2 linked regions of the Schizosaccharomyces pombe genome follow. The protein of the gene in region 1 binds, or shares a complex with, the protein of each later gene. Each region holds a gene or a part of one and is shown on either strand. Other genes may lie near its edges.

Region 1 (4,466 bases):
CGTTCTACAACCAATGGTAAATCTGGATCTTCTCCACGAGGTGCTGAAGCGCAAATTTGTTGATTAGGGCATCCTTCACATGCTGATGCAGTTCCTGCATTTTCAGATGACGGTCCGGGGCAATGCTCTGGTGCATCTAAAGGAACAGTTTCTTGGATTTGCATAGAAAAGCCAATATTAAAGCAAATGCTTAGTAAAAGTCTTTATTTCACGTGCTTAGTGAACTTTTAGTAGCTATTTTTGTAAACCACGTATGGTAAATTATAAGTGTAATCCGGTGTAAATTCTCTTCAAACGAATTTTTGCTAAAAGCTTTACCTCTTGTTTTACCACAATATTCTGACTAAGCTTGAAACCGTTTTACGATCTCTTGGCTAGTGGCAATGAGCTATATCGGTTTTCTACTAATCGAGTTCTAATTTTTTTACCGTAATACCCTAAAGTGTGTTAAAAGCAATGTTCATGAAAAAAATCACGTTGGAAGCATCGAAAATCAGATATTTCCAAATGAATTAAACGGCACTTAATTTTCCTTCGCTTCATTTTTACTATTCCAACAAATACATTACTTTACACTTAGCTTCTAATTTACCGAGAAACAGTTCATAAGATTAAAAAATAAAGAAACCGAAAATATAAAACCGATTTAAAGATCTTAGATTTGCACATGTAATTGAGTATTATACATGTAACCTTTTTAATGAACTTTCTACATCCGTCCTTTTTAAGCAGTAGAAGAAGCTTCAAGGGAGGGTCCAGCAGCTTCTTCAAAAGTGTTGGGTGGAACAGAGTACAAGCGTAAAATAGGTCTGTTGGGATCCTTTACAAGGACATATTTTCCATCAGGCATTTTCAAACAGACATCTGCAATAGTACGAACAATACCCCAACCATTAGACAAACTTAAGTTCATTTGGGAAGCCAAATCAGCAGGCTTATAAGCTACAACACCCAAAATGCCGTGGTGCTGAGCGTCACGGGCATTTGAACGACTGACAAAACCAACCTTCATGCTATCAACACCAGCCAATAAAGCTTCGACAGTCCAACGGGCAAGCTTGCAACTATTGTTCTTCATTTCAGTGGCAAACACAGCACCTCTTTGACTTTCGAGCTTGGAACGCCAATCCACAGAACCAGTAACATTTGTAAATTTGGGATCGTACTCATTAAGAGCCTTGATAGAAATGTATTGAACATCGTTCGCAGGATTTTTAACATAACCGTCAACTTCGGTACGAACCATTAGCTTAACAGGCTTTTCGTCTGTCTCGAGAGAAAGATCAACATCCCGATAGATATAACCGTGAGCAGCCAATGGCTCACTTTCTTCCTTAGAATTATAGAAGGGATTGGGATGAGGTAATTTATATTTCTCTTCTTCGGTTTCACGTAAAGCTTGGACGCAGAAGTTTTGGTTAATGTACGTAGCTTCGACAGAAAGGGCTCCAGGAGAATTAACACCTTCGCGGTTGTCAGCGTCCATGGGAGAATCGTATGCGTTTTCATTGACAGTGAGATAATCAAAAGGTCCGCCTTCACGTTTGTCAAAGAATAGCTTTCCACTTTGGTGAGTAATTACAATATCCCAGGGATACACTGAGCGAGTTGAACACATCAATAAAGACAAAATGGAATCCGTAATGAAAATGTTAGCATCACTATTAAGAGCGAGTTTTTGGATAACGGGGTCTTCAGTAGTGGTAGGGTTGTAATGAACACGGTCCAAGGCTTGTAATGGTTTTTCTGATTTAACATGAATCTTGTCAAAAGATTTGTCATAAGGATAAATATAACCATATGAATCCACAGTAACAGGAGCAGCAGCAGCTAAATTGAGCTTAGATAAATGGCTGAACTCAACCTCGTCAAGAAGCTGCCAGTCGTCACCAACAGTAACACTGGCGTTGCGAAGACGTTGATGTTTATCATAATCCTTCCAACCAAACCGACGACCTCTTGCTCCTCCAGCGCCTGAGGATCTAGAAACCACTGTATCACCTGCACCTCTTCCACCAGAAGAACCGTAGCGACCGCCACGACCACCTCGTTGAACGTTTTGTCCTCTACCGCGAACCTTCAATAAAGTGCCGCCGTTGCGAGCGGAAGTGCGTGTACGATTGACAGAACCACGATCGATCACCGAGAAACTGGATTCGTCCTCCGAATGCTGATAACCAAAAATGGACGACGCGCCATAACCATAAGTTTGATATTGGTCACGGAAACGACCAGCAAATGCTCCTTGACGTCCACGTTGTTCACGTCCATCTTTAGGTTGATCAACAGACCAATCTGCAATTTTTCCAAGACGGTCACCTTTACTAAAAGGAGCATAAGGAATATCACCTCCTATCTGTTCCGTTTCAGGAGGTCCCCATGCTGATTTTACGGGTGCTAACTCAGGCAATTTAAATCCAGTTGCCATTTGGGAGTGGTGAAGTTTTCTTCGAAGTGGACGCCAGTATAGTGTGCAAACGAACTGGGAGACGCTAAAACACCAAAGCCAACAATGGTAATATTTGAAGTTCTAAAGCTTTATTTGTAATACAAAAGTACTTAAATGTAATATATATACTTTTTGGTTCGTGAAAAAGTTAAATGTTATACATTTCCTTTTGCAATCAAGGTGCTATATTTGTAGAAAAACTACATCTATTAACAATTAGTATATGTTACTGTATTTATCAAACTACTTCTTTATTTGTGAACCCACATGCCTATTCAGAAGACGATATGTGGAAATCTCAACCACTCACTACATTATAAAACTATAGTAGGTAGAATTACTTTATCATACTAGCAGGTTATATCAGCACTAAATGTTATTAAATTAAAAAATGGGAGAAATTGATATTGAAATAAAAGATATGTTATGCTATAATTTAAAACTGATTACGACATCAGACTTTGCCTTTATAGTCATTGTCTCAAGGCTTAAATGTTTCTGACAAAAGCATGTTTTAGAAAATTTTAATTTCGTCAACGCTGTCTTTTGAAGAAAGAAAAAAATGAACGCCAAGGTTCTCAGACATTCTCTCTTTTCTGTCATCACATGTCGCATAAAAAATATACACATCTAATCCTATTAAAACAATTGTTTGCGAAGAAATTAATGTATAAAAACGGAAAGCACCAAATATTAAGCAGTGTTAAATGACCGCAAAAGCTGCTAAGTAGCAAAGGAGAGAGTTTAGTGCATCACATGATAAAGGATCGCATTGACAGCCTAGCACACGCAAGGAAAAAGAATGATAAAGTATGAATTTAAAATATTAATAATAATGATGGAAATATGTGAGGTCTCTATTAAAGAAACGGAACTAACTTCCTCCAACCCCGTTTTCTTTGCGCTAATCCCTTATAATGATTTATTTCATCTAGGCAGTCCCTTCCATAATTACAGCCTGCCAAGTTTACCAAGAAGTCTCCTTCTTTTTGGTTATAAAAGAAACGAGGATTTTCACCTTCACCAGCACAAGCACCTGGAGGATATGAATTGAAAAGGCGAAGAGGAACGAATCCCATGCCGCTTCGAAGCCAAGCATTATTCTCGTAGAAGTACTCAATTGCATTTTGCTCATCGTGAGGCCAATCCATGTGCTTTTGCCCATAGACTACTGGATCCCAAAGGAAGTCCATCAATCTGCTAGTCCAATCACTTCGACGAACCAGAAAAGAACCCAAACTGAAACCGTTGCAATCTTGCCCTAAAATAAAGTTGATATCTTCACTATAGTCAACAAATGGAATTTCGTGGAAATTTTTTGGATTGAACTCCATGCTATCAGTAATATTCCTGGTCGCAATATGGTCAAGTCTGTTAATAATAAGCTTTTCAAGAGAATATTGAGGTTCCATGATGAATGTTGTTAAATCGACCCACCAAAACCATTCAGCATGAGGGTATTTCTTCATGGCTTCCATGATATAATCTGCTTTTTCCCAAGATTCACGCCATTCATGAGCATATCGTCTCTTTAAGCCTGTGCTCTTCACAAAGAAATGATATCCGTGCCTTTCAGCGTATTTCTTCTTGTTCTCCGTTGAAATCTTCTCCAGCTCCCATTGTCTGGGACTTTTTACATCTAAAACGCCACCTCCGATGTTATTGACAAATATCATAACAACATTACTCTCTTTGGGACGCGTCAAGAGTGTATGCTTTAAAAAGTAGCCTGAGCAGAGCAACAGTACCACAAAGACGAATAACCTATGTAGATGCGTCTTGGTAAAATACTTCCTTCTAGTATCACCTTCTTTGGAATCAAGTACATTGGAAGTGCCTGGCTTAGGGTAAGGAAAGGATTTAAACTTAGCTAATGCTTCTGACTTCTTTTTGGGGTTCCACATTTTTTAATATAATATAAGACTCGACGTTTACGTTAATTCTTCTTATTAACCTTTAAATTATATATTTTCGAATGATAATATGACTACGGCAATGCCGTTTGAGGTTTCACACA
Region 2 (4,971 bases), 2.0 Mb from region 1:
AACATTGATAAAAAAATTCTTATAAAGTTTCCCTCATTTTTAGAAATAATATGAAACTTATCGCAGTTGACTTCGTTAGAGGTTTACCATTCAAGATCGTGTGAATGTATTGTGTAAGGATTGTTATGCTTAATACGACTTCAGAAGTATTCAATAGAATTTCAGAACTCTTGTTTAGAGGTTCAACAACACAATTAGAGATACTTCGTTCAGTAATAGATTTTTTAAAGAAAACAACTTCAAACCATACACCGATAGATTGAGCTCGTACTAGCGACCAAAAATTCGATTACACACATCATGTCTGTTTTCAGTCGATGGAAAAAAGGCGACCATATGAAACTGAAGAACAAAGCTTGCAGAAATAGCTTACTGTAAACGTGTATAATGGTCAACAGATTCAGACTTTCGAAGCAAAGTATCTTTACAATTGAAGATAATTACCAAACGGTAAACTACATTATTTCCGATTAACGTTTGTAACAAAACCACTATGAAGTAACTCAGATGTCTATTGATCTATGGAAACCACCTGATAGTTAAATACTTTCTTCAAAGACAAATAGTCATTCATTTTATTGAAATTAGATCGCCCTATTTTTCACCGATGCACAACAACTTTAATTCATGTCTGAACGATTCCGATTTTCGGTGCGTTCATTGCGTCTTTTAACCGAGCCACCCTTATCACGACGTCTGTTCTCCTGAGGATTAGTGTGTTGGGTCTTCTGCTCATATAGCTTTTCATTTGCCTCATTCAATTGTGCAGTTTTCTCGCTAAGAGAAACAGTCAAGCTTTCCAGCTTGTTAATCTCAACACGTTCAAAAATGATGGCACCGTGAACTTGATCAAGAGCAGCATGGATCTCACGTTTAGATAATAACCGAGAAACAATAACAGTAACACGCTGAACAGGAAGATCAAATGTCGTAGCCAAAAATTCAAGAGAAACAGAATCGTAAAAAGCAGCATATGCTAATAAGTATGTACGTAGTCCCTCTTCCCGAATCTTCTCACTAAGCATTTGCTTAATTTTGTCAGCATCAGGCATTAAGCTCCAAATCTTAATAGCATGAATAAATTCTTCACAACGACGCCATTCACCATCTGCCAATGCTTTCGAAGCTTGCATTATATACTCGCGGGTATTTTCAGGAGGACCAACGAAAAGCTGACGATCAATGTATTCAAGCATACGACGGAAGGGTCGGCTGATTACACGCTTTCTAGAATCTGAAGCAGTAGAGCTAGCAGCTGCCATTGCGGGAATCTCCATCAACATAGAACAAGTCAAGTAAACACATTCAAGCAGTTCTAGATTTATGTGCATATGGAAAGGTAAAACCAACTGCTTATCCAAACGATCCTGATCAGGTGTAAATTGTCCAAACTTTGGTGCTTGTATGCCTTGTCCAAGGAGTTCCTTTACACGACCAGTAGTAGAGATGTCTTGAAGAGCATACTGTGTTTCTTGAACCATACCGTTGCGGAAAGCACACAAACCAATTTGAACCATAGTGCGATTGTGTAAAATTTGAGTAGCAATGTCGGCAGCATGCACGCTATCTTGTAAATGCGACATAAGTAACATATCACGAGCCTTGTAAAAACGATTTTGCAATGCTTCATGATAAATATGACACAGCATAGCACGGGTACGAAGTAAACTGACACCATTATTATAAAGATAGACACATAGGGAATGGATTAAAATATCAGGAGTCGTAGTCGTGGCACGAGGAGTAATTGTAAGATCAAAAGTAGGAGGGAAAGAACGCCAAGCAACCTCCTCATTAGCGCGAATTACTTGTTCAGGCTTGTAATAGACGCGATCAAGACGGCGCATGATCAATCGAGCAGTATTTTCAACCACCCCAATTCGCTCAAGGTAACCTTGGCTTCTGACAAGAAGGGTATAAAGTGACGTTTCATCCTTCAGACGGTCAATATATTCAGGAGTATGAGGATCAATCATTTGAAGAGAACGAGTAAATTCATCATCCAATCGTTCTAAGAAAGAGACTACACTACCTTGAACTTGTATGACTCCATTATTATTTTCCGCCGCAGCTATCGCTTCCTCCTCTTCTTCATTTTCATCTTCTACCTGTTCAACAATAACAATTTTGGGGTTTGCATCAAAGATGTCAAGAATACTGTGTAACTCAGTAAGAGCGGCATTCCATTGATCAATAGGCATGTATTGTCCAGAGCCAGTGTTTATATCGAATCTAACCGCCAATAGGGCAACTTTAACGCGAAGACGTTGATAATCAGTTACGGCTATAGTCGAGAGTTTTTCTAGTAAACGAATTTGTTCAGAACGGTCAGTGCTTTTCTTACCGCGAGCTTCGAAAATAGCTCTGAGATACTTGAAAATATCTGCAGGTGTAATTTCTTCTGGTTTTCCTAAGCCCTCAGTAGGTGCAACTATACCACGAGTAGCTACACCATCAACAATAACTTCATCTTGCCCAGCCTTACCGGCAGGCTTGGGAATTTCGTTTAATTCTGCTGGCTTCATGAAACCTTCAGGATCCTTACGGTATCTATCAATATCACTTTGAAACTGACGGTTGTTTTTACGAACACGCTGTTTTAAAGCGTTGAACGCACGGCCGTTAGCAGCATCCAAACTTTTGATAAAGGCCTTATCAGCGGACTCGAGTTTTTGATCAAGAGCAGACAAGAATTCGATGTACGGAGGAGGATTTCTGCCGGCCTCTTTGCATTTTTGAGATACTTTGTTCAAATGATCAAATTCATTAGAAACAACAATCCAGTTGTTTGAACTCATAGCGTTTTTAATAGTTTCCATGCAGCTAATAAACTCTTCATAGCGTTTATCTTTAGCACTTTTAACAACACGACGACCCTCTTCCTCATCACTACTTTCCTCGCTGCTTTCACCACGGAGAAACTTAAGACCAGCGGGTTTGGCCTCTTCTTTTTCGGGTTTCTTTAAGAAACTAGAAGGGCCAGAACGTTCAGATTCATCAGATTCCTCTTCAGATTCAGATTCCTCCTCAGACTCAGACTCGGACTCAGACTCGGACTCAGATTCATCAGAAACTTCGCTATCCTCTTCGGATTCAGTCTCTTCTTCCTCTTCTGAGCTTTCAGAGTCAGATTCAGAGTCTTCGGAAGCAGCCACGGCCTTTTTCTTGGGAACCTCTACTTCTGACTCTTCGCTTTCAGACTCTTCTTCAGATGATTCGGACTCCGAACTGGATGCGCTTTCCTCTTCACTTGATTCTTCTTCAGATGAAGAGTCATCTTGTTTCTTCAACCTTGAAGAGGTTAAACGGTTTTCTTCAGAGGAGTCAACGGATTCTGCATCGCTGTCGCTAGAGCCTCCCTTGAAGAATCTCGACATGTTGGTGGTTGGCAAGTTTTTTTTCGTGCAGCAGTCAAAGGAAGGGTGAGGACCCCCTTCCACCTTTTTGAAAGAGGTATGTTATCGTTAATAATATTTTGTGTCCGTTAAAGTGGATTAACGTAATTTGTTATTTAATAAATTTATCCAAAACTGTCGGCAATGAAAGTTTAGAAAACTAAGAAGCATGGGGTTTATCGATTTTGACTTGATAGAATGTCATGATTCTTTATAAGCAATTTCGTATCACAAATACACTCAGAAATCATTAACGCAGTTGCGGGACAAAAACTGTACATAATCAGCGTCAGGTTGTTTATAGAATTACTTTTGATGAATGAAATACGCTGAACAATTTAATTATGAGGAAGTGATTATATTTTCCATCTAACCAAGTGTATACTCACTTTGCTTCCTTGTCGCAAGCAATTATCTGCTTAGCAATTAATAATCCGAAAAAAATAATCGTTTATTTATTGAAAGTTTTAATTGTCTAAATATTGATGCTCTTGAGATGTACATTTGTTAAGAAAATGAATTAAATTATTCTAACCCCTCCCCCGAAAAAAAAATGAAAAAATACTAAAAAAGATAATGATTATGGAAAATTTTAAAGGAAAAAATTTGTTTCCGCAGCGCTACTCTTGATTATTTCGTAAGACCAAGTAAACTAAATATAAAGCGTTTTGTCTTAAAAAACTATTGCAGTATAGAATGTTTCCTCTACTGCAAAACAAAATCCATACAGCTAGCTCTTAGGGTTATCAATTAGGGTTATTGAAGCCATACATTTTACCTGATCACTGTTTATGGCAGCGATCACAGTCATGTTAAATTACGTTACAAGTCGGTATTTAGCCACGTTCCTTCAACCACTTAGTCAAAAATGGATCGCATTTCTGCTCAAAAAGATATTTTCAAAAAGGGTATGTCCCTGTAAAACTATTAATTTAACATCTTTTAGTCGTCAATAAGGAAAACTCTTCCATTTTCGTGAGTCTTGGCGTATTTGCAGTTTCTGTAGCCATCTTGAAATCCAGACTGGGAAACTTTTTGGTACCACAATTGTAAATGGATGTTTGAATTTCACGGACTAAACGTCTTCAGCTTTGGATTCAGAAAAATATTACTTCATAACGTTGTATGGTTGTTTCATAAATAAAATGAACTCCCAGTTTCAATAAAGGTTCAAAGCTAAACAACATATATCTTTCATGAATATCATTGTGCTTTGTAATTTTTGTTAGCGATCTAAAATTTGAAATATTTATGTTATCTAGTGTCATGCGAAGTACGTAGGAGCATTAGTTGGTAGGAACATTTTTACATATAAGCTAGTTCGATTCTGATATCTTGCGTCTATTTATGTTTCCTTAGATGTTTGAAGTCAATAACCAATATTCGTCCATTCACTACAGATTTTTGTGTGAACATTGGACTAGGAACCATTTCGTTTGTCGTTTATGCGAAAATTTTTATGTACGAATGTAGTCGGCGTGGAGAATGTTTTAACAACGACTCCTTCATTTACAGATAGATGCCAAACAAGAAACGTTTTTCCTCCTTTTAATATCCAACCGGTTACATGGTTGTG

Evidence for each region. The genes of interacting proteins can lie anywhere in the genome.
Region 2: moe1 (region 1) and tif303 share a complex: the UniProt entries of both Schizosaccharomyces pombe proteins name them as parts of the eukaryotic translation initiation factor 3 (eIF-3) complex.

Annotation. Positions count from the first base shown.
Region 1 is NC_003424.3:4,549,813-4,554,278, reverse strand, and holds moe1 (translation initiation factor eIF3d), read right to left. Parts: upstream 2,440-4,466; 5' UTR 2,429-2,439; coding exon 725-2,428; 3' UTR 538-724; downstream 1-537. Other genes in the region: Fe-sulfur cluster assembly ATPase Nbp35, read right to left, coding at 1-164; gmh5 (alpha-1,2-galactosyltransferase), read right to left, coding at 3,310-4,353. UniProt on the Schizosaccharomyces pombe protein: mRNA cap-binding component of the eukaryotic translation initiation factor 3 (eIF-3) complex, which is involved in protein synthesis of a specialized repertoire of mRNAs and, together with other initiation factors, stimulates binding of mRNA and methionyl-tRNAi to the 40S ribosome.
Region 2 is NC_003424.3:2,579,600-2,584,570, forward strand, and holds tif303 (translation initiation factor eIF3c), read right to left. Parts: upstream 3,391-4,971; 5' UTR 3,378-3,390; coding exon 621-3,377; 3' UTR 501-620; downstream 1-500. Other genes in the region: tom6 (uncharacterized protein), read left to right, coding at 4,264-4,303, 4,342-4,448. UniProt on the Schizosaccharomyces pombe protein: Component of the eukaryotic translation initiation factor 3 (eIF-3) complex, which is involved in protein synthesis of a specialized repertoire of mRNAs and, together with other initiation factors, stimulates binding of mRNA and methionyl-tRNAi to the 40S ribosome.